3 linked regions of the Struthio camelus genome follow. The protein of the gene in region 3 binds, or shares a complex with, the protein of the main gene of each other region. Links are inferred from orthologs where the notes say so. Each region holds a gene or a part of one and is shown on either strand. Other genes may lie near its edges.

Evidence for each region.
Region 1: the proteins of WNK4 (region 3) and KLHL2 are in contact, whole or in part, in a crystal structure (PDB 4CHB), measured with the Homo sapiens proteins. The link is inferred for Struthio camelus from reciprocal best matches to the Homo sapiens genes WNK4 and KLHL2. Residues at the interface, in NP_115763.2 of Homo sapiens: Glu557, Pro558, Glu559, Glu560, Pro561, Glu562, Ala563, Asp564, Gln565; in NP_009177.3 of Homo sapiens: Arg345, Phe361, Gly363, Ser364, Leu365, Arg366, Thr392, Phe408, Gly410, Ser411, Thr412, Gly413, Ser438, Ser439, Tyr455, Ser487, His504, Arg534, Tyr583.
Region 2: the proteins of WNK4 (region 3) and KLHL3 are in contact, whole or in part, in a crystal structure (PDB 4CH9), measured with the Homo sapiens proteins. The link is inferred for Struthio camelus from reciprocal best matches to the Homo sapiens genes WNK4 and KLHL3. Residues at the interface, in NP_115763.2 of Homo sapiens: Glu557, Pro558, Glu559, Glu560, Pro561, Glu562, Ala563, Asp564, Gln565; in NP_059111.2 of Homo sapiens: Arg339, Phe355, Gly357, Ser358, Leu359, Arg360, Thr386, Phe402, Gly404, Gly407, Ser432, Tyr449, Gly451, Ser481, His498, Arg528, Tyr577.

The regions. Positions count from the first base shown.
Region 1 is NC_090945.1:43,282,064-43,289,315, forward strand, and holds the start of KLHL2 (kelch-like protein 2), read left to right. Parts: upstream 1-4,236; 5' UTR 4,237-4,392; coding exon 4,393-4,415; intron 4,416-4,894; exon of another isoform or gene 4,895-5,753; intron 5,754-6,047; exon of another isoform or gene 6,048-6,146; intron 6,147-6,705; exon of another isoform or gene 6,706-6,829; intron 6,830-7,119; coding exon 7,120-7,245; intron 7,246-7,252. UniProt on the Homo sapiens protein: Substrate-specific adapter of a BCR (BTB-CUL3-RBX1) E3 ubiquitin ligase complex that mediates the ubiquitination of target proteins, such as NPTXR, WNK1, WNK3 and WNK4, leading most often to their proteasomal degradation.
Region 2 is NC_090954.1:5,722,448-5,730,002, forward strand, and holds the start of KLHL3 (kelch-like protein 3), read right to left. Parts: upstream 3,056-7,555; 5' UTR 3,023-3,055; coding exon 2,913-3,022; intron 2,482-2,912; coding exon 2,365-2,481; intron 1-2,364. UniProt on the Homo sapiens protein: Substrate-specific adapter of a BCR (BTB-CUL3-RBX1) E3 ubiquitin ligase complex that acts as a regulator of ion transport in the distal nephron.
Region 3 is NC_090966.1:7,833,388-7,841,224, forward strand, and holds the start of WNK4 (serine/threonine-protein kinase WNK4), read left to right. Parts: upstream 1-4,782; coding exon 4,783-5,283; intron 5,284-7,837. UniProt on the Homo sapiens protein: Serine/threonine-protein kinase component of the WNK4-SPAK/OSR1 kinase cascade, which acts as a key regulator of ion transport in the distal nephron and blood pressure.

The sequences.
Region 1 (7,252 bases), on a different chromosome or scaffold from region 3:
AACCTGGGTGGCAAAGGGCCTCAGACGTGTTCATAGAAATTTCGACTGTAATTTCTCAGTAATTTGCTGTAGTAGTACAAATCAAAACCATGATCTCTGCTTGCTTCCATTCATAATGCTTGCTTGAACTAGGACTGCTTTTTCCATGACACTAAAATGAACTTGCAGTCTGCAATGAACACTGTACTGTCCAGAACTGACCACAAATACTTGACTTCCCCATTCTCCAGAACTCAGAAGCTTCATACCATTTGCTTTTTTATTTGCCTTTTTTTTTTCAAAACTAGGATTAGAGCGTTTAAAATCTGTTTGCTAGACTGTGTGCCATATCGAGTATTTTTGGAAATACACCCTTTTTGATTTTAATCAGTGGAAACTCGGTTCATAATTACTAGTTGTACACCATCCTTATCACAGGGTCTGTGAACTTTCTACAGATAAATATTACCCTTCATCTGTTTTCATTAAGGATGATCATTCGTGGTACGATGCGTCAATTGCCTACACTGAAAAATAATACTGTAAAAGATTTAAAATATTTTTATCCATGCTTAATTGTGTTTAACTGATCGTGTTTAACTTAATTGTGTTTAACTGATTTTGGTCACAGTACATTTTATTTTTGATAGAGCTGTTTTCCTATTCCTCTTTACTTCACACTCTTGACTTATGTATCTTTTTTTTCCCCTTCTTTCTGCCTACTCTCCAATACATATTCCTCTGCAATCTGGTCCCCTTCTCCTCTGTCTGCTGCATGCACTTTCTTGCATTTCCCTTGCATGTTATTTTTCAATGTAATTCTTCTCAACTGCATTCATGTCCTTAGATCAGTGGTTCTCTGAAACTTTTAATATTCCATTCTTCTGAAAAAAAAGTCTCTTACACTATATAATGCATTATAACGTTAGTTAACGCTTGATTAATGCTGATACTAGTACTAGTATGTTAGGCAAAAAATGCAATAATAGGCAATGACTGTGTTGACCTGAATTCCTGCCATGAATTCCACATGGGTGATTTCTTGTGGATCTACATAGATGCAGGGTCATGTCGTATAAAATCTGTTGCTCATCTTACTGGGGGCGAAATGCACAGCAAAAAGAGTGGATGTGTGCCCTAAAAGATTCTGAACAAAAAAGATATATTTTTACTTACATTTTAAACATAAATTACCTACAACAAAATTCAGTAAGATACAACTTTAACAAATTACAAATAACGTAACAGCTAACAAAGGGAGGAAGGACCTCGTTTTTTTTTTCTATTTGCAACAGCAGCAAAAGGAGAGCAATACTTCAAGTCTTCAATACAAAGTTATTTTTTCTTTTTTGGAGAGGTCCTCCTAATCTGGATTTGACCATTAGAAATACAAATAAGAGTTTATTTTAGTGTTGTCTGTGGCTAAACCTAATACAGATTTTTTCCAGCATGACCGTGTCAGCCTGGTGTGATCCCTTAAAGATGTCTGTAAAACACCATGTATGCCTGGGGTTACACTGACTTTTACCAGGACTGCTTATTTCATTTGTAGGACCGGGTTACTTGTGGGACTGTCTTACTAGAAAGTATCGCTTTGCTAACATAGCTGCATTTTCAGCAGATGCACTTTGCTGATGTACAATATCAGTATTTCTATATTGGTAAAGTACTTCTAGTGTCAATAAAGTACTTCTAGTGTCAATATATCCCAAGAAATCTGCAGTAGTTAATAAGCATTGTCCTGCAAGCGCAGAGCTGGATGCATTCCTGTCGAACTCCTCAAAACAAGTGGGAACGGAACAAGGGTCCCCAACGGAACAGGGGCAGTCCTAAGCACAAAAGTGAATTTCCTCAGTCAATGTAGTGATTCGAATTGCTGCTTCTTAAACAAAAATGGCAGCTGTTTTGTCATAGGTAAGAAACTTGGCCTATTTCCTTTGAAAACTACATATATACACACACGCATAGGTAAAGTAAATTGTTCTCTAAAAGTTCTTTCTACGCAGAATAGGTAATAGACCAAACAAAATCTCACAAAAATCCAACTACTGTATATAAAAGATGTATTTCCTCATGGTTGGAGAAGGATGTGTGATTGTTACTTTGCCATAACCATGTGACATATTTGGATACAATCATTTATATGTGTATGATTCCTTTCAGGAATTACTGAAGTACAAAGACATAATTTTAGGCGGGGGGAAAACATCACTGTCCCATTTGTGTTTCTTTCTGATGTAAAGCATCACAGAAGTTTCTTAAACTAACAGTAAACATTTGGTTGAAAAGCCAGAAAACATTACAAGAAAAATGACAGAACTCATAGGCTGGAAATGCTTAATGTTAATTTAAGAATGAACATTACTGAAAAGTTCTGCCTTGTTAACAGGAGGCAGAATCAGCCTATGTGCTTGAAGGAGCTGTAGCCAAGTAGTGTAAAAACCCTGCCTCAGCTCCCAGACAAACTTTCAATGACTATGTATACTAACATGAAGCCTTAAACTGTGCAGTCGATTGCTGCTAAGATTCACTTAGGTCTCACAGATCAGTAAAAGCTAAGATCTCTCTCTGTTTTTCAGAGTAACTCATTTACTCTGGGAAACAGAAACCTGAAAGTATGATGTGACAGTGATCAGTAACAATCTAACGTACCAACGCCAGACTGCTTTTGAAGCCGTAACTCAGAACTCATCTCTAATATGTCCCATTGCGCAGGCTGAAAAGGACGCTTTTAAGCTTCCATTTCAGAGTGCATTATTGCAAGCTGGTCCCTTTGGAGCGGATTGCCATGCAAGCAGGTTTTCTTGTTTCTCTTTCAAATCTTCAACAAGTAGCTTGTCTTCTCCAATACAACCCAGAGGCAAACTTTGCTGTCTCTTGAGAAGAGACAAATTCAACGCTTACAAAGCACAGGCTTTGTGAAAACAGGCACTGTCAATTGTGATGATTCCATTTAGAAAAACCTCCAGTGGAAACCTGTTGAAAGATTTTTGAAGCGTTCCCAAATTAAACATCACAGTATAGTGAAAGAGAATTGGTAAACGGAGAGATAATTTTAGAGAGAAACTGAAACTGCATTTTCCCAGTGAGAATGTTATTAAAGATTAGCAAAGATGAAATGATACATCATTAAAATACATTTAGTTTTAATAATATCTGACTTTATTAGAAACACTGGGGAAGGCTTTATGTATCCATCTATAACATTCACCCGAAGTACACTACCATTTTCTATTTTGCCTTCTCCAAACGTGCTGTCCTCAAACTTCCCTCACTTTTAGAAAAGTAGTTTTGGTCAGTTAGTGGCAAATCTATTAGTTTCAGATAAACTTTGTTGATAATCAAATCTCTCACTCCAGAGGAGAACCATTTTATTTTTACTGAAACTATCAGTCATAAACACCTTAATTGTTTTCAGCTTGATAAACACCTCTGCTTCCGCTGCACAATCTTTCCTTAAGATTTGGAAGTAAATTACAGAGGTTTAAGTACAGTAAAATCTTCTAGAATCCTCCAAGACAGAAATTGCTAAGCACAGTAGTCTTCTTGAGGGTTTGCAGCGGAGCAGCTTCCCAAGACAAGTATTTGAAATAGATCCCTGTCCTGTTTCCTTCAGAGATTCTGCATCACAGAAGCTACCTAAACTAACATTAAAACAAAAAATTCAACGACTTAGTCCTAAACCTCAGGGAAGGATGTGATTATGTAACTAAAGACTGGCAGAAGGCAGCTGTTTTGAGCAAAACAGTCGCTGTCCTGCTGGGCTGGGCGAGGTGACAGCACATTAGATCCGCTGAGTCCCAGTGAACCAGAGCACCCCAACCGCAGCCCGCGGTGCTCCAAGCCCCTCTCTCCTCCGTCGGACCCTCGCGCCTGCGAGACCTTTCCCTCTGCCCTTTCCCCGAGCTGCAGCAAAGCCGAGCGAGCAGGTGCCACAGCAGCTGCCAGACCGGCCCGGCGGGAAGCAGCAGGTGCCCCTCCACGGCCTGTACCCGAGGGCCGCCTCAGGCGCACCCCCGCGGCCCTGGCAGGCGCCTGCCTCGGCGGCGCCCTCCCCGCCGCCCGCTGCAGCCCGCCGCCGCCGCCCCGCACTGGGACCGTTACAAGGAGCGGGGCGGCCGCCCGCCGCCGCCCCCCGCCCAGCGCCTCCCGCCCCGGCCCCGGCCGCCGCGCCTGCGCCGTGCCGCGCCGCCCGGCCCGCCACCGCCCTCGCGCGGGCTGGAACCCGGAAGCGGGCGGTGCCGGCGGGGCGGGGCGGGGCGGGGCGGAGCACCGGGGGCGCGGGCGGGCGGCACAGCGTCGTGCCGTGCCGTGCCGTGCCGTGCCGTGCCGTGCCGTGCCGTGCCGTTGGCATGGTGCTGGCGGCAGCGCGCGGCGCCCGCGTTGCACGCAGGACGCCCGAGCGGAGCCGCGATGGAGATGCTGCTGCCGCCCGTGTGAGTGCGCGGGGCGGGCGGGCGGGCGGCGCGGCAGGGCCGGTGGCGGTGGGCGGCCGGGGGCCCGGCGGTGCTGCCGCACCTGCGCGGGGCGGGGCGGGGCGGCGCGGCGGCCGCGCCCCGTCGTGGCGGCGTTGGCGGACAGCCGTGCCCCCGGCGCCTTCCCGGCCCCTCGGCGTCGGCGCCCGCCGTTTTGCTGACAGAAAGCCGGGTTTTGGCGGTCTGGCGAGGCGAGGCCGAAGGCGGCGGGGCCTTGGCCGCGGCGGGGCCGGCCGGCGGCGCGTAGCCGGGGCCGGGGTCAGGGCCGGGGCCGGGGCCGGCCGTCGTGACCTTCCGCCCGGGGCTGGTGGCCGGCGAGCAGGAAGGAGTTGCGGGGGTGGCCGGGGCCGCTGGAGTTCAAAAACGCTTCGCGGTTTGCGGGGACAGGCGGTTCCCCCCCCCCTTCCTCCCCTTCCTCCCCCTCGCTCCTTCTGCTTCCTCCTTCTGTGCTCCCGATTTACTCCCTGCTTGACTCAGCAGTCATCATGCTTGTCGCACTTGGAGTTTTCTGATTATTTAGTTAAGCGTCTTTTTCAGGAGCGGGCCATGCGGTTGCCCCCGTACTTCGTTTGGGTTCAGCCCTGATTTTGTGCGCTCCAGTTCAGCGCAGCTTCCTCCTGCCTCCTTCAGGATGTTGTGTTTTCAGATACTTTGTAGCTGAGGCTCTTAAAAACGAACTAAATAAGATCATTCACACACAGCTTTGGCCTGCTTCGTGAAACTGTAAGGCAGACTCGTATAACTCGAAGTAGACAAAGCGGCCCTAAAAGCAGGAGGCACCTCGCTGGTGTTTCTGTGGGTGTCGTTACCTTAAAACAAACCGGTCCTTTTTCCAGTACTTCACCAAATGGTTTTCAGCTTCCCAGGAACTGCTCCTAGGTGCTTGGTCGCACCCTAAGGGCAGCTCCTGCCGCTGTTTCTTGCACGTCAGCCAGCGTGCGAGGTGTGTGCTCTGTGTATGTGTGCAGCTATGTACACAGCAGTACCTGATGTATCGCTTTGGGATGCGGAAAGGTGCTGTAGAAGATGTTCCTTCCTTGAGTTTGGTAAATCAGTAGTTTCTTTAAAGCCTGGGTCGCTACCTCGCAGTTAGTCTGTGGTCTCCTGAATGTTCCCTGATGTCACTGATTTCTCGCTAGCTCACTAGGGTAATATTCAGTTTAAAGGTGTATGCTAGATAATATGCTTTTTCTTTTTTTTTGGACCTCAGAACAGCATCACGTGTGTGTTCTGTAACATGGACTTTTTCTGACTGATGCAAAAATTGTCCTGTTACTTGACCCCTTTCAGAAATAACTTGTATCCTTTTCACAACTGAGTGTGAAACTAAATTCTTAGCAGTGTGATGTGGAGTGCAGTAAGTTGCTAGTGGTTTGAATTCTGTAGATGGAACTTATTTTGTTAACCACACATTTTGTTATTCCTTTGTTGATTGATGCAGTTTCATGCTGTTTCACCTCAACGTTTTGTTACTAGTTTTGGAATGATTAAAAAATAAAGCCAGCTGGTTTACAGCTGCTTGTAGTGCACAGGGTATAGAATTCCAGATTAAAATTTTAATTATCCTTGAGTTTTTCTTTAAAACTTCTTCAGATATGCCTAAGGAAAAAGTTTTAGGTCTGGTAGAAGAGAGATTGGAGTTCTGGCAGTCAAAGCATATGTTAAATTTAAACTATTTTTAACTTCAAGTAGGTAAGATCAAGTTTTTATTTGAAATCATCTCTCTGATGTACCAGAGTCAGCTGCCCCACGGAGTGACTGTAGTGCCAAAAATACTTTGCTTATTTCTAGTTTGGAGGTTGGGGAATAAAGTTACATAGCATAGGTGAAAAGGTGACTGATACTAAGTGTTTAGTAAATACAGCAATAATGTAACTTACCATGTAAGAATAGCATCATGGCTATAGACCTGAAACTTGTTGGCGTGGCTTGAAAAATTCACTTGCCATTTAGATAGTCCTAGCAAATGAGAGATGTATCTAATCATTTTTCTACAGAATTTAAGTTTGCTTGTATAAAGGGAGAATTGTAATTAGAGCTAATGATTATCACACTGCAGAGTTTTTTTTTCCTACTTTTTTTTTTTTTTTTAAGTGTAAGAATAGTTAAGAGTCGGATCATTTTTTGCTTTTCAAAGCATGGAGTGGATCGGTGAAACTCCCCAATTGTTGTCATACCAATTTATGTTTTGTGTCACTGGTTGGAAAAGACTGAACAAACTGCAGTTGTCATCATGTGGTCTTCCTGCCAGGAGAGAGAACCTGGAAGCTGCATGAATCAGTGAGGGAGGTCCTGATGGAAGGGCAGAGGACTGCTCATTTCTAGCACACGGGTGATGACTTTGAGAGGCTGCTAATAATGGATGCTTCATTCTGGTGAGAATCTGGACTGGCAGCAGGATAAAAGTTTAAGGACCTCTATTTTTCCTAGAATTTCAGAATTTATTAGAAACGTTCTATGGCTTCATGCCCATATGTTTTGTTTATGGAGCTTACTGTGAGCTTGGAATGCCTCTATCAACCTCATTGGTATTGAGGACCTACAGTAGAATTTGGCTGAAGTAAGGAACAAGTTGAAGTGCTCCCTGTCTCCCCCCCCCCCCCCCCGATAACGAGGAATAAAATAGAGCTACAGAAGTATTAACTTAGCTCTTTTTTCTTTCCAGATGTACCAAACTTTGCCATCAGAAGCCACTGGATCTGAAAGATGATAACACTGAAAAACACTGTCCTGTTACAGTGAATCCGTGGCACATGAAGAAAGCTTTCAAAGTTATGAATGAATTAAGAAGGTATTAC
Region 2 (7,555 bases), on a different chromosome or scaffold from region 3:
GCTCCCAAACATCAGTTCTGTCCTGCCTAGCACAGAGGGCTTCCCATGGTTCTCCCAACAAGGAACAGTCAATCACTAGAGTTTATCAGTGGTCCTGATAAAACTTAAGTTAAATGCATGAATTAGGCTGGGATTAAGAGTCAATGAGATAAACCAAGGGGTTCCAGACAGAAACTAACACTTTGAGATCCCTCACTGACTCATTGTACAGCTTTGGCAAAGTCACTTCATTAATCCGTGACCTTTCCTACCAGTTCCGTGTATGTCTTTTGAGGATTCATTAGTTAATGTTTGCACAGGACTGCTGAGATGCAGACAGCTAGAAGTGCTCAGCCTCCCAGTAAGTTGGTTTAAGATCTCTGAGCATACAAATGCAAAAAAAGGGGTGTTCTTTTCAAATGTCAAGCCTGAAAACAGATCAGAGACAGTAAATCTAGATGTTGCCTTCTCTTCAGAACTGTTTATCACAATGCTGCATTTTTTTTTTCTTTAGAAAACTGCACATCAACTACACACAGAGCTTCTAAGGGACTAGGTACGTCTCCCTCCTCTCCTCCATGCACTGAAATAAACAAACACTGTTTGTGAAACAGAGGGTTACAGTTTGAACATAGGGAGAGAGTAAGCAGGAAAAGATGGTCTGTTCTCTACTCTTCCCCAGTTTAGAATGGATGATGGTAAGTAGAGAAATTTTTTAATGGTCACTCAGTGAGGGTCTTCTCCTTCCCTTCAGCTTATCTATATTCATCTAAGGTATCTCTCATGAAAATTAATCTGATTTTTATTTGGAAGCTAAAAATTTCAAGTGAAAAACCTACAGCAAATAGGTTAAAGGTTTAGCAAGATTTCTCTAGACCTTCTAAAGGCATTCAATTTGAGGCACTATTATTCAAGGCAGCTATTAACACTGATTGTTGACAGCTTAACTGACCGCAAGTTCAATGCACAATACATGTAGACATGGGAACTCCATATTCCAGAACAGCAGCAGGAGCTGAGAAAAAGGAGCGCACCCAAGGGGAAAGTTAAAAAAAAAAAAATCCAACAGTAAACAGGTGCTTAAGGGCAGCTTCAACCTTAAACATTTTAACATTTCAGTATTGCACAAGATCTAGCTAAATACAGACACATTGTCAGTCTCCAGCTATTCCCACTACGCTTCAATTAACAAAGGAATAATAGTAGCACAATAGATTTCTGAATATAGCTGCACAAACCTCTATTTTCAGATCTTTTGCTCTCAGTACAAAGAGAGGACTAGAGGGATGCCAAGAAGAAAACATATTCAGCTTCACGTATTTGTTACAAAGGAAGGCTATTTCCATTTTCCTCCTCCTTATGCATCAGCTGAGAATCACTGTCAAACATCTACGGAGACGTTTCTAATCCTTCTCTGTGCTGGAGAACGTGTATGTTAGGAAAGTACTTAATCCACAGAAGAGAGGCGGCTATTACAGCATCTCTCGAGTACTTAGAGCATGCAGGAAGAGTGAAGTGTTATCTGCTTTCACCATAACATCTGCATAGCAAGGCAGCGCGTATGCTTATGTGCAGTGTTAGGAATATAGGAAATTTTTTTTTAATTGGGTTTTCAAGTCTCTGTTTGAATGGTTAAGGGCTCAAATGAACTAGCTGGAAAAAGGCTCACTAAAATTCTCTCTGACTCAGGGGACGATAACAGCCAAGAAACAACTCAGATTTAACCACGGCCACCACAGAGCTGATGCAAGGGCAAGGGTGTCTTAAAGAATGCCTTCACTGAGATTTTTTTTCAACCTTCCTCCTCCCTTTACCCACACAGTTGTGCAAAGACACCACAGTGTTCTCCTTTAACCAATATTAGGATTTAAAATTAGCAAATAGGGGTATGACCTCCTCCTAGGTTGCTTTTTTTCCTCCCCCTCCTACTTAAGAGGGCAAAGCCCAGAGTGAGTGACACCACTAGTCAACGAGAACAGGAACGGTACATTAATAATCCTTCGTCTGTAATTACGTGGTGTCTTAATGTCTGTAATATTGTTACTGGTTTTCAGACCATTAGCTCAGTTAAGAACACAGTTTACAGCAGAACTTGCTGTAAGTAATGGAAAGCACTAGATGAATTATCATTTATAAACAGAGCATATTGCTCAGATAGTGCTTCTGAGACACAGCTGTGTGGTTTCTGACGGAAAGTTAGGCAGGTGCGAGGCTGCAACCCAGCAAGGAACGGCCACGTTTCAACTGTCCCTTCCTACTTGTTTATTAACAACCTCCACGCAACCGCTAGCCGTGACAGAGATGGCACAGATTTCTTGCAAGTCCCCCAGAAGCCCTTCGGTTCTCATCAGACCGGAGGGGATGCCCAGTCGGTCGAAAGCGTACCTCCGTAACTCGTTCATGACCTTGAATGCCTTTCTCATGTGAGAGGGGTTGACCGTCACCGTGCGCTGCTCCTTTTCGTCTTCGGCTGCCTCAGAGGATCGGGAACTCTGCTTAACGCTAAAAATAGGGATTAGAAAAAGAAAAAAAAAGAAAAAAAAAAGGAATAGAAAGTTTGATTTAATGGCACTAAAAAAAATGAACCGTAAAACTGCCACGGAGGGCAGTGCACGCACGGAGTTATTTGTATGTCTGTCAGGCAGCCCAGGTGGGCCATACGCAGAGCATCAGAGAAGGCAGCTACCTCCGCAGGGACGCCGAAAGCCAACCAGCCCACGTTTCCATCAGGAACAGAAAAAAGCACCAAACACGCGAGGACAAAGCCCAGCCCTACAGGCTCCGGTCCAGGAAAGCAGAATAAGCGGAAATCCAAGCCAAAACATAATTGCCTCACTGAAGAGGAACAGACTTCAGCACTGGGAATTACGAGAGCACCAGGAATACCTTAACATCCACACAGAGAAACACAAGTTTAGTTTTCAAATTCCCACCTGAAAAACGCAGGCAGACATATATGACCTGTATCTCCTTCCACAGAGGAAAATCCAAAAAGGGCTTTCACAGCTCCCAGAGCATCAGCGTTACGGAAGCCCCTTCTCATTTCCACTCCAGAAATAGGTCTACTTAATGTCACTGAAACCTGTAGAAAGAATTATTAAACCAGAATTTCCTATCAGAACTGCACAGTATATAGGCAAAGTAAAATCAGATGCGCCCCATTACGTGCTGTGTTTAACCAGGCCAACAGGTGCCTAAGGCACAGACGCGTCCTCATTGCTTTGTGCTGAGCCCTGGCTCTTTATCCACAATCGACATAAGGTCGATATATCTACCTCTGTGATCTGAAAGCGTGTGAAATCACTCGGAGCTAAAGGTTTCCATCTGTGGAAAAAAAAAAAAGAAAAAAAAAATGCAGCACTTTACAGCGAGATTACTCATTGCTGAAATCCAGAGCCCATTCCTCCGACCTTCCAGCAGCCAAAAGCAAACAAGACAGGTCGAGCAAGGTGGTCCACGTCTAAGCGCAGCCCCAAGCGAAGGGCAGATCACCCTCCCCGCGCTGCCCGGCCCCGGACCACGCCGAGCTCCTCGCCTCCGCCACCTCGCGCTCGTCCTCCCTGGATGGGCTCGTCCTTCTTCCAGAAGCAACCCGCTGCACAGCGGCCAAGTTGCACGCGGCGGCAGGCACTGAGTTAGCACGGGTGAAAAAACAGGCAACGAAACAACCGGTTTTTCTGTGCCCAGGGCAAGCTGAACCCTCCCTGCTCCTGCCCGCGCCGCTAGCAGCCTTCACGCGCACGGAGCGGCCAACTGCTCGCTGGGGACGCTGCCAAATTCGGTTAAGCCTCAGTGATGTATCTATCAAAAGCCTGCGTTGAAATCTTCGGCCAAGTGAAATTCGACCGCAGCGTTCAAAACTGCAGCGTAAAGCCTTGCTTTTTAAACTGCCAAAGCTTCCCTCGCGGCGGGCCAGAGCCCAGCAGCGAGAAACGAGGCTCTGAAAGCGCGAGTAACTTCACTGAACTTTCGGTCTCCAAAGCTGAAACACCTACAGGAAGCCAAGAGAAAAGAAAAAAAAAGAAAAAAAAAAGTGAAAGAGGGAGGCAGCAGACACCTGCACGCAGGGCTCCGGGGTGGGAGCAGCTGGGCCTCCGCAACACGCTGCTTTCCCTCTCGTTCAAAGATTGACCTTACCCCATCCAAAAATCAACCGATGCAAACAAAAATCATGAGGTTTCTTTAATAAGAAAGACTACTACACCCTACTGAGATTTATTTAGTAGCATTTCGGCGCCAGAGAGCAAAGATTCGTATTGTCAAACTTTCCAGCCGGCAAGAGATGCAGGACAAAGGACGCGGCAAGTTTCACTGAACCCCAAAAGCAAATGTCAGATCGACCAGCCTCCATAAAGCTGCAACGCCACCAATATTGGTCTGTACGCTTTAAAAGCAAAAACCTTGCTCTGGAATTTTTAAAAAACGATTGACCAATTCCTCCTAAAGAGCGTGAAGAGCAACCTTTTAAAAACTGTCCTAAAAGACATTCTCACACTTGCTAGCACAGGTGGATTTCAGACTTTACCAAATACCTAAAGACTCACCATAAAAAAGTTCTGCAGATAGTCTGGTATACAATTTGATTCAAAAAAATCAGGATATGCTATTTAAAGTTTTTTCAAATGACTCACATAAAAAACATGTTAAAAAATTTAACAGCTAAGTGCCTTTAACTCATGCTTCAAAATGACTCAGCTTCCATAGATTTTTGTACCATTAATACAGTGGGGATGCCTTTCTCTGGAACAGTGATTTCACACTACCATACACATGCTCTCTGATACCACTGACACATTTCCACCATAAAAAGGCAAGGGCCTAAACTATCCAAGTAAATGCAATCTGCCACAAAGCAAAAACTACCCCGAGAGGAAGAAAATAATGCATTACATAACACTTTTCTGAGTATTCTCCTACAACACTAAAAATTGTTCTACTTAGGAATTACTCCACTATTTTATTAGCAGAACAAAGAAAAAGAACAAAGCTCTCTAATCAAAGGTACTGGCTGGGAACACCAGGACACGCAAGGGTCCCTCTCCTCCGTAATCAGATGTACTTTCCCTGGAGCACCTTTACATTCGAGCAGCGGCGTCCTCCTGCACCAGCAGGACTTGCCACCCGGGTGCCAAGAGCAATCTGTTCTATTCCTGGGCCATCCGAGGCCACGCGCTGACAACGATTTAGTTCCCCCGGGCTGGATTAATAACCTTGTTAGGGGCACAGCAGGATCCTCCCAAGATAAGCAAAGAGGCAGAGCGCCAGCCCCACCACCACCACCACCACCTCCTGCGAGGTCCTCATTTCAGCACTCCCCCCACATAAAACAAATGGACCTGATCTCAAAGTCCCAAATGGCATCAGGGAAGCTAATCAGAAGCCCCTTTACACCACTGTCCTCCTCTCCAAGACAAGACAGACACACTAGTAGGCCTTGGCCCAAGCTACCTGCAGGCACGTAGCAGGGCCTGTCTGAGCTCAGGCTGCATACCAACCAGCAAGAAGGTATTTTAAAAACCCATAACCCGTAGCTCTGCTGCATGCATGCATTAACTATAAAGTTGGGTTGCCTTAGTTACCAGCAGTAATTACAGATGTCTTTGTAGATTATGAGGAAGAATAAAAGCCTTCCTCTGAGCTAAACCGTCCCCTCAGAAAATTATTACTGTGCAGAGAGCTGGTAAACCCCAGGAACGAAAACGGTGACTCTGCCAACAATCAATTCCACCACTGGCTTCACTGGAGCCAGAAGTTCACCCTAAAGAAACAGCAGCTTTCAAATGAGCCTTCCTTCAGCGGTGGACAGGACGGGCTTCTGCTCACACTTCTGAGGGAACGTCCTCAGGGCTCAGCTCCTGACCTTCACATGGACACCACCAGCGTCTCTCCCACAGCTCGACCACGCTCTCGCGGCGGAGCTGCGTTGCACCACCCCAGGGCTGACCCAGGCACTGCCAGGCAATCCCGATCGCTCCAGGAGGAGGCAAGCCAGGACAGGGCCACCAAGGCTGGGACTGCTAGGACACCTCAGGACTCTGCTGCAGCTGCACGCAGAGGTCTGCGGTCCAGATTGCCTCGTACACATCGTGGAGCCCCTGGTGCTGGCGGAGGGTTGGCCTCCCGCGCACCACGGGACTCGTGGACCTGTGCACCTCCATGGGGTCGGACAGCCCCACCACCAGTGTCTGGAGCTACGGGAAGGGAGCAGCCACTGCAACGCCCGGCCAGGAGCCTTCAGGCAGGAACGCAGCCCCTGACACTGGAAGTGGGGTGGGTTGTTCATCCTCTCCAAGCACCAAGAGGCTTTTGCCGTCTGAGGCGGAGAGCCTCGCGCGCATCCTTCTCAGCGGAGGTCAGCAAAAAGTGCTCGGCTTAGAGAAATCAGTAAATGCACGTGCTGCTTTCCAAATGGCTCCAGCTTCCTGGGGTCCAAACGGTTTGGAAACCTGGCAGCCTCTTATGGCACACAGCACCCAGAGAAAGACAAACAGCGTGCAGTAGTTATCTTTTTGGTCTTTGGTACTGATGTTTCAGAAAGGACAGAGCCAAGGTTACTTGGGCGTCCTGAACTGGCCTTTCATAGCTTTCTGTTAACTGAAAAGTGGAGTGACATGTTAACTATGAACGTCCTAAGCCTACAGCACTTCTTTTGGGATGCACTGCCAAACATCGCTGTAGTCTTACTCTTAACTTTCTCACAGGTTTGACACAGTTCTGCTCTAAAAACCTAAAAGATACCCAATAGCTGTTCCTAGTCTTCAAAGCTTAAATGCTTCTGCTAAGACAAGTGAAGACCAAAATATTAATTTAGTCTTGACAGAATGCGGGGGAAAAAAAAAAGTAAGCTTTACCTTAACTGGAGCAACTTTTTCATGCAGAATCAGTAACTAAAACCATAAAGACTTTATGCCCGACGGTTCCATCCCTTGAGTCAGACAAAACAAAATAAGAAAAGGATGTCAGTGTGATGGCATATTTATAAAATCCCAACTTCTAGAATTTTCTTTGGGTCAATAGAAAGATATTAAAAACTGTGATTGAAGGAATCTAAACAGACAGATGGATTTGAGAGGATTTCAGAGAAATATTATCATTAAAATGTATTACAGGGAACATAATAGAAAGGTTTTTTGTTTTCATAATAATATTTATTTGCAATTTAGTTACAGGGTTTTTTTCAGTGCCTGAATCTACACTGAGACATCAGTTTAGTGGAATATGTAATTGGCAGATGACAGACCCCAAAAGGAACACTGATCTCAGAGGAGATCTCAGGAGAAACGCAGGCGCCGGGAATTACTGAGAAGAAGAGAGTTCTCTGACAATGCTGGAACCAACACAAAACGACGCAAATACGACAAGAACGTCATTTACCTTCTAAGGCAGGTATTGTATTTCTCAGACAAATAGTATGAAGAGATTAGCACCATTTAAAGGCACATTTAAAATTACAAGTTTTTTTTAGTTCTTTAACCAAAAATTCACATTCCTTTTTTTTTTTTTTTTTTTCCCTTTCCAAACTCAAACGCACCTTGCAAATTGAGAATCGGAGTGCACGCACCCAACCATACAGTGT
Region 3 (7,837 bases):
GAACCTTCCCTGCGGCTCTGAGGTCACCGCCGCGTCTGGCCGCGTTGATTGCGGGCTCGCTGGCCAGGGCGAGGCGGAGCGCGGGGGCCTGCTGCCGAGATAAGGGGCTATCAGGCCACGCACGCGCCGAGCCCGCTGCTCGCGGGCAGGAAACGGTTCAGAGCTTTTTCATTTAGTGCAGCTGGTCAGGATCAAGAGTTGTTCCAGTTTGATAAACACGTAACCTGGGATGAATTTGTACACGGGTTACGTCTGTAACTCTGGGCTGAGGAAATCCTGAGAAGACTTATCTGCCTGGAGCTAAAGGCACAACTGAGGTTTGAATGACATCTCGCCCTCCCTGCAGTACGTGCGCTAGGGTAAGGATGGCCCGCAGGGAGACGAGCGAGGAGGGGGCACCAGCAGGTATGCAGTGCCGCAGCCCACCAGGAAACAGCTCCCGGGTCCCCTTCCCTGTCGGCATCCGTGGGCGGTGGTACTATCCTGCTTTACGCTCGAGGCAGCGCTTGGACCCTGCGCCTGCCTGGCAGGGGTGGCGTGAAGGAAGGCTGGCGGGGCCGCGCAGCTGGCCTCTTCCGCCTGCTCGCCTCTCGTGCCGCTCTGGCCTGGTCGTGCCGTTCCCGCTGGTCCTGCGACGCGTTCTCTGTGTCCTGCTCCCTTCTTCTGCTTCTGGCTCCTAAAGGCCTTTTTCTGCTCCGTGCCTGTTTTAGTGGGACCTGTTCGCCCCAACACGTTTCCTAGTAGGAAAGGGTGTATTAGTGGAAGCCTCCTCCCTGCTCCTTTCCAAGATATGCAACGGTTAAGGCAAATCCAGGAAGCTCAACTCACTTGTCGGACTAGCCAGATCTGCCGTTTCACTTGCCGTGCTGTCCAGTCTGAACTGGGTATCCCCGTCTCATGCAGAAGACACCTGGGCACCACTGGCTGAAGGAGGTTCGTAGGTACACAGACCTCCTCTGTGTCTGGACCCGTCTTGGCCCCTCGCTTATGCTGCCAGGAGCTCTGAGGTCAGAACGGACAAGTTCTGGCAGCGCTCGCTGGAGCTAGCACGGGAGACACCGGCGCGCTTAGCTGAACAGTTCTTTGATTAGTGATCTAATCCCAAGGAGAGTGATTACACAGTCCCCTGTTCTCTTCCTGGCAGCCAAATGCATGCGAAAAATAGGTTAAATTGCCTGATTACAGCGGTTCCTCAAAGTGAAGGGCTGGCACTGGCACCACAAGCCCAAGAGAGACGTCACCCTGATAACGTGCAAGGGTGTTGTGTGTGTTTTCTGAGCACTGGGAATGAGCTGTTGATTGTGGACTGGAACTTTCTGCTTTCAGCCCAGGTCTGAGTCCAGCTTGCTACCTCAGGACCGGGTCAGGAAGGCACCCGTAGCGAACCTAACAGTCTCTCTTGTGGTCGTTCCTGTTCTTGCCCTGTGCAGAAGGGAACGGAGAGTTGCGATCGGTTTTCTCTCCCTCTGGACACAGCCCCGGGGCCAGAAGCAGCCGAACGTGCCGTCCCTGGAGCGCTTGCCGTGTCGGAGGTGGTGGGAATTCCCTTGCAGAGCAGCAGCATTTCTCTCTGCGGATAGATTCATTTTCCTATTTAATTGAGGAAGCGACCGGTCTGCGCTGAGTGGTGCTGAGATCGATATCCCACCCTGAGGGGCAGGCCCCAGCGGCTGCGCCGGAGCTGCGCGGTGTCCGGATTCGCCTCCGTTCTGGCGGCTGTAGAACGACACTCGACGTTCCCCCTCGCTGCTCTGTGGATCAAGTGGAGGATTTTCAGCTAGAAAAGACTGAAATCTCCGGCTTTGCTGAGAGCTGCAGTCAGGACCGGATAAAAGTAAAAGCAATTACTTTTTAAGCAGGGAACTTTTAAAACCTGACATATGTTAGATGGGTAGGAAAGCTACAGCCCTGTTTCCCGCGGCTTTGACGGGCTCTGGAGGAGAGGTGAAAGTCAAAAGATGGGGCATGAAGGATGGTTCTTCACGTGTCTCCTCCTCCTGCCTCCCCTGGGGCTTTGGCAGATGGTCCCCTGGCTTGTGCACGGGCTCTTTAACTTTGTGCAGCCTGCAAGACGCTGGAGGAGAGAGGTCAGTAGGAAGCGGGAAGCCTGAGAGATGCCACGTGGGAGGCGTTTGCGTGGGGAGCTGGGATACCCCCCCCTTTCTGGATGTGGATCTGGTGAAAAGGGCAGATGTTTTTGCCCTGGCAGAACGGTGCATCTGAATAAAACACTTCATTTGGCAGAGTGGAGTCCAACTGTGTCATATTTTACAACACAACAGTCTTCCACACCAGGAACATTGTGTGTGCCACACCTATCAGCCCGTCTGTCCTGGCCTTTTGTCTTTGGCAACAATCAGCCTCTGGTGCTTTGGGACAAGGGGCACTTCCTCCCAGGAGGCACCAAGCGGAGTGCTGCGGAGGGGCAGACCTTAGACGTGCATGCTTCAGCCTTGGGTGGCTGTTCTCCCGCTAGCACATGCCCTGAGCACGCTCTTGGGAGCACCGCATGTAGGTAAGGATGTGGTCCCGTCTCTCAACTCACCAACCCAGGCTGCACATTAGCAGTTTTCAAGCAAAAAAGAGACATCCGATCACATTCTCCTCTTGGGGCAGTTTTACCTGGCTCCTTTGTTTTGCGAGCCGGGCAAGCAGGGATGAATGAACGGGGTCATGTGAAGGTAGCACAAGCCTGCCTGTGCCCGGGAGATTAGCAGTTTGACACTCGGCCTATCCAGGGCTGCTGCAGAAACAACGTTTCATTAAATGCGTCTCCCTCCTCCCGCCCGGACGGGGGGTGGGATTTGTGGGGCTGCAGCTGTGCTAGACGTGGGCTGCAGCGGTACTGTGAGTCAGGGCTGCAGCCCAGGGATCACTCGCTGTCCTCCTGCATACGCCGGGTTAGCATTTGAAATCTGTGTGGAGGACATTGCTGGGCTACTATTTCAATCCTCCCCTTAATGTTTCTCTTATCGTTGAATAGAAACAATCTGATCCTAGGGAAAATAAATTAATGTCGGCTTCAATTGCTTTGTATTTTGTGTAAACAGTTCCACTAAGTAGAACAACTTCTTAGTTTAAACCGTAGAGACAACAAGCTCTTGTCTGCGCTCTGGGTTAGTGCATGGCTGGAACAGACATTCATACCTTAATATTTGCATGGCCCTAATTTTAGGATTTCACCCAGTAGCAAACTGAGAGGATGGGCTGTCAAGCTGAGCAGACAGGCGCGGGACCCGATAGCTTGTCAGAACAGCGAGCGGCAGGAGGTGCTCCCCACAACCTGGGAGAGGGACAGCTGCTGTTTCTTGTAAACCCGCTGCTCTGAAATCTCAAGTTAAAAGCTCTAAGTAAATGTCTAAAACAAGCACTTCCCTACAGCTCAGTGTAGCCTGCGTCACCCTGTCTGATGCTTCAATTACACTAGCCCCATTGCCAGGATTGTTTCCAACGCTGCTGGAGAGCAGAGCGCTGGCTCAAGCCTGGGAGGGAAAGGGGCTGGCAGCCGCTTCTAGCTCTGCAAGGAGGGGATGGCCGTTGCACAGCAGCTGGGCTCAGAGCTAGGCTTGCAGCAGGGGAAGGACGGGGCACATGCCCTGCCTTGGGACCTGCAGCCATCCCAGCACCTTGTGCCCACGCGCAGCCCGTGTGCGGAGCCTGGTGCCTGGGATGCAGTGCCTGGTGCTGGTGTGCGGAGCCCAGTGCCAGGGTGCCAGGGACTGTGGGCCGTGCACAGAGCGGTGCTGGGGGCTAGGGACGCTGCATGCAGCTCCTGCACGCAGTGCCTGTGCCTGGTGCAGACTACCCAGAACCGGTGCTCAGCACGTGCAGCCTGTGCCCAGTGTGCGGTGCCTGTGCGTGGTGTGCATTGCCTGGGCCACGGTGCCTGGTGAGCTGTGCTGCTGCCCCATGCCCATGCCCAGTGCGTGGAGCCTGGTGCCTGTGCTGGTGCCCGCTGCCCATGCACGCTGCCCATGCCAGTGCTCGTGCAAGGTGCACAATGACCATGCTGGTGCCTAGTGCCTGTGCCGGTGCTGGTGTGTGGTGCATGTGCCCAGTGCATGGAGCCCAGTGCCAGTGCGGGTGCCTGTGCCCAGGGCATGGAGCCTGGGGCGGGTGCGTGGTGCTTGGGTGCACAGTGCTGATGCACAGTGCGTGGAGCCTGGTGCTTGGCTGTGCAGTGTTGGTGTGGGTGCTGGCACCCAGTGTGTGGTGTCCGGGTGTGTAGTGCCAGTGCGGGTGCCAGTGCCCAGTGCATAGAGCCCGGTGCTGGTGCCAGTGCAGGTGCTGGTGTGCGGTGCCTGGAGCTCAGTGCCGGTGCCTGGTGCACAGAGTCCAGTGCCCGGTGCCCGGTGCCTGGAGCCTGGTGCCGGTGCCGGTGTGCGGTGCACAGAGCCCGGTGCTGGTGCCGGTGCGCGGTGCACGGAGCCCGGTGCCAGTGCCAGTACGCGGTGCACAGAGCCCGGTGCAGGTGCCCGGTGCCCGGTGCCCGGTGCCGGTGCCGGTGTGCGGTGCACGGAGCCCGGTGCAGGTGCCGGTGCGCGGTGCACGGAGCCCGGTGCCGGTGCCGCGGCCGGCGGGGGCCGCTCCCGCGGCGCAGGGGGGGCGGTGGCCGCGGGGAGGCGGTGCCGGGCCGGGCCGGGGGCGGTGCCGCCGGGCGGGGCCGGGGCCGGGGCCGGTGCCGGGGCCCGGGCCGGGGCTCGGCGGGCGGACGGCGGCGGCGGCGCCAGGTGCGAAGCTGCGCGGGAGCGGCCGAGCCGCCGCCGTCGCCGCCGCGGGCCGATGCTGGCGGCGGAGCCGGCCGCCGCCGGCGGGGCCATGTCCCAGCCCGAGGCGGAGCGGGCGGGCGGCGGCGGCGCGGCGGAGGAGCCGGAGCCAGGACCGGGGCCGGGGCCGGAGCCGGAGCCAGGACCGGGGCCGGGGGCCCCCGGGCGGGCGCCGCACCGCAGCCGCGGCCGGCGGCTCTCGGGGCGCGAGTCGCGCCGCGCCTCCGCCCGCTTCAGCCGGCGCAGCTCGGCCGAGCTGGAGCTGCTGCGCGGTGCGGCGGGGCCGGGGCCGGGGCCGGGGCGCGGGGGGTCGCCGCCGCCGCTGCCGCCGCCCGCCGGGCGCCGCCGGGAGCCCGAGGAGACGGAGAGCGAGGAGGTGGAGACCCGCGCCGTGGCCACCTCCCCCGACGGCCGGTTCCTCAAGTTCGACATCGAGATCGGCCGCGGCTCCTTCAAGACCGTCTACAAGGGGCTGGACACGGAGACCACCGTGGAGGTGGCCTGGTGCGAGCTGCAGGTAAGGGCCGGGGCCGGGGGTCGGGGCCGGGGGGCTGCGGGAGCCCTGCCCGCGGGCGGCACCTGGGCGGCGGCGCCCCGACCCCGGCCCGGCCCGGCCCGGCCGCCTCTGCCCCTCCGCGCTGCCGCCGCGGGCTGCCCGCCCCGACGGAGGGGCCGTAGCCGGGGCCGCTTGGCAGCTCTTCCCCTGCCGGTTGCCCTGGCGCCTGCAGCCGCCCTGCAGCCGTGAATCCCTCTCGCTGCCTCCGGTGCCTCCCGGGGCGGCCGCGCTGCGCGGGGGAAGCGCGAGGCAGCTCCCCTTGGGATGCCCAGAGCAGCGCACGGGCGGTTGTTAGTCGTGTCCGTGCCATTTCCGCAGCCGGCTGCAGCAGCCGAGCAGGACGCGGTCCTTGCAGCCGGGCTCAGGTTCCCTCGCTCCCCGAAGGTGCCTGCGTGCTGGCCGGCGCCTCGGAGCCGCGCGGGGGCTGCTGGCCTGGGCCCAGCTCCGGGCTTAACACGGCGCTTCCCAGCCCTCCCGCCTGTCACGTGCTGTTTTCCACTCGCCGTGTTGCTGGCTGCGCGGTGGCAGCGCTCCTGGTGCGCCCGCGCTGCCCGTGCCGGTCCCGCTCCAGGAGTTCGCGGGTGGATCCAGCCCTGCTGCTGGGGGCTGAGCCCTGCGCTCGCCCCTGGCAAGGGCGGTCTGGGACAGCAGCGCCCTCTCCTCGGCCCGTGGCTCTGCGCCAGGGCTGGCGGGCTGCTCCGATAGCCCCGGGCACGCCGCTGGGCACGTGTTCGCAGTGTGCTTGAGGCTGGGTGCTGAGCCTGCTTCCAGGGTACAGCGCGTCCTTGGTGCGCGCCGGCCGCTCGTCCTTGACTGCGGCGCTGTCCGTAGGCACCTGCGGCGCCGAGGTCCCTGCCGCGCGGCCGGCACGCTTGGCTAGCTGCGCCTGCAGCTGCGGCTTTCCAGGTCTGGGAGCAGCTGCGCTGGCCCCTGTCTCCCCCCGCGTCCCGCCGTGCCTTTCGCTGTCCTGCGGCCCGACCGCGGGACGCTAACGCCAGGGCGCGAAGGGGAGCAGCGGGGGGTCGGCTCCCTAACGCCTTCGCCGCTCGGGTGAGGCCGCGCGTGGGTGGTCTTGCTGCGGGGCTCCCTCTTCCTCCGCAGAGCCCCTGGGGAGGGGCTTCCGCTAAGTCCAAAGTCTCGGACGGGCTCCTTCGCCCTGGTGGCTATTGTAGCTGGAAGGTCCAAGTCCTTGTTTACACAGAAAAACGTGTCTTGCAAGTTTGTTGTCTTGTTCCTAAAACCTTGGTGCAGCTGCACGCTGCTGCATCCCTGGGGACGGCTGCAGCCTGGCAATGGAAGCAGAGATCCTTAGGTAATGGTGAATGCTTTCAGGAAGGGCTCGGTGTTCCCTGTTAGCGAGGAAGGTGAGGCCTTGGCCCGGCGTCGCGGGATTGCACAACTGCTCCAGCTGCCCGCTGAGCGCATGCTGTGTCCCACCCTCGCTTTGCACCTCGTCCCGTTGCAGTGCTCCCGCGCTTCCACTTGCGTCTCGTATCCCTTCGCGTGCTGCTGAGAAAACCGGTCTGGCCCTGACAAGGAAGGACGTTTCTTGCTAAACCCTGCGGCTTTCTCTGGGCGAGTCAGCCGTGCCCGGCTGGCGTCGCGGCAGACCGTCGTGGGTCTGCGCCCTGTCTTTGCCCACGCGCGTCCCTGCTCTCCCGGCTTCACCGCTAGCGTGCGTGGCAGGTCCCGCTGCTGCACGGCGCTGCCTGGCAGCCCCAAGCCCCCGGCCCCGCTGCGGCAGACGCCCCTGGGGGTGGCCGGGCTGCGTCCCCCAGCTGCAGGAAGGGAATCGCCCCGCTGCCGGCGCCCGTGGGGCCGGGGAGCCGCTCGCGCGCGGTGCAGCCGCCCACGCGGGAGCGTGCCCGCCGCGCCGGGGAGAGCTGGCGGCCCTCGGCCTCCTGCGGCGCGGGGGGCCTCGGGGCGCGGGCCGGCCCGGCGCAGCGCCCCTTCCCGCCGCCGTGGCTCTCCCCGTTCCTCCCCTCCGCCACCTCCTGCCTGCCGGCCCTGCCCCTAGCTGCTCGCTCTCCGTGGCTCCTGTCCCAGAACCCACGTCCCATTCGGGTCTGAAAGCATATAGGCAGACTTTTAAAAGTCTGTTTTCCTGCAGCAACCATGCAAAGAATCAGACACTGTGACACAAATACGGGATTTGTAACCGCAAATAAAAATGGTTGTGGTTCTGCCCTTTTAAAAATAGCTTTGTCCCGTGTCTTTCACAGTTCTCCTTTTATTGCCTTTCAAATATAACCGAGTACCTAACCTCAGCCCTGACCTGCAGTTCCGGCTCTGAGAGCCTTGTCCGGCCGTTGCGACGTCCCTCGATCCCAAATCGCAGCTCTCCTCGCTCTCCCGCCCGGCGCCGGCCGTCCGGAGGCACGGGCTGCGCCGCTCCCGCGGGACCCCCGTCCTCGGCGTCGCGGCCGTCCCTGCCTCCTGCCCGCGTCCCGCAGACCCGCCGCGACCTGTTTACGCTTTCCAGCTTTAGGTCCGAGGCTATTTCAGTTGATAGGTG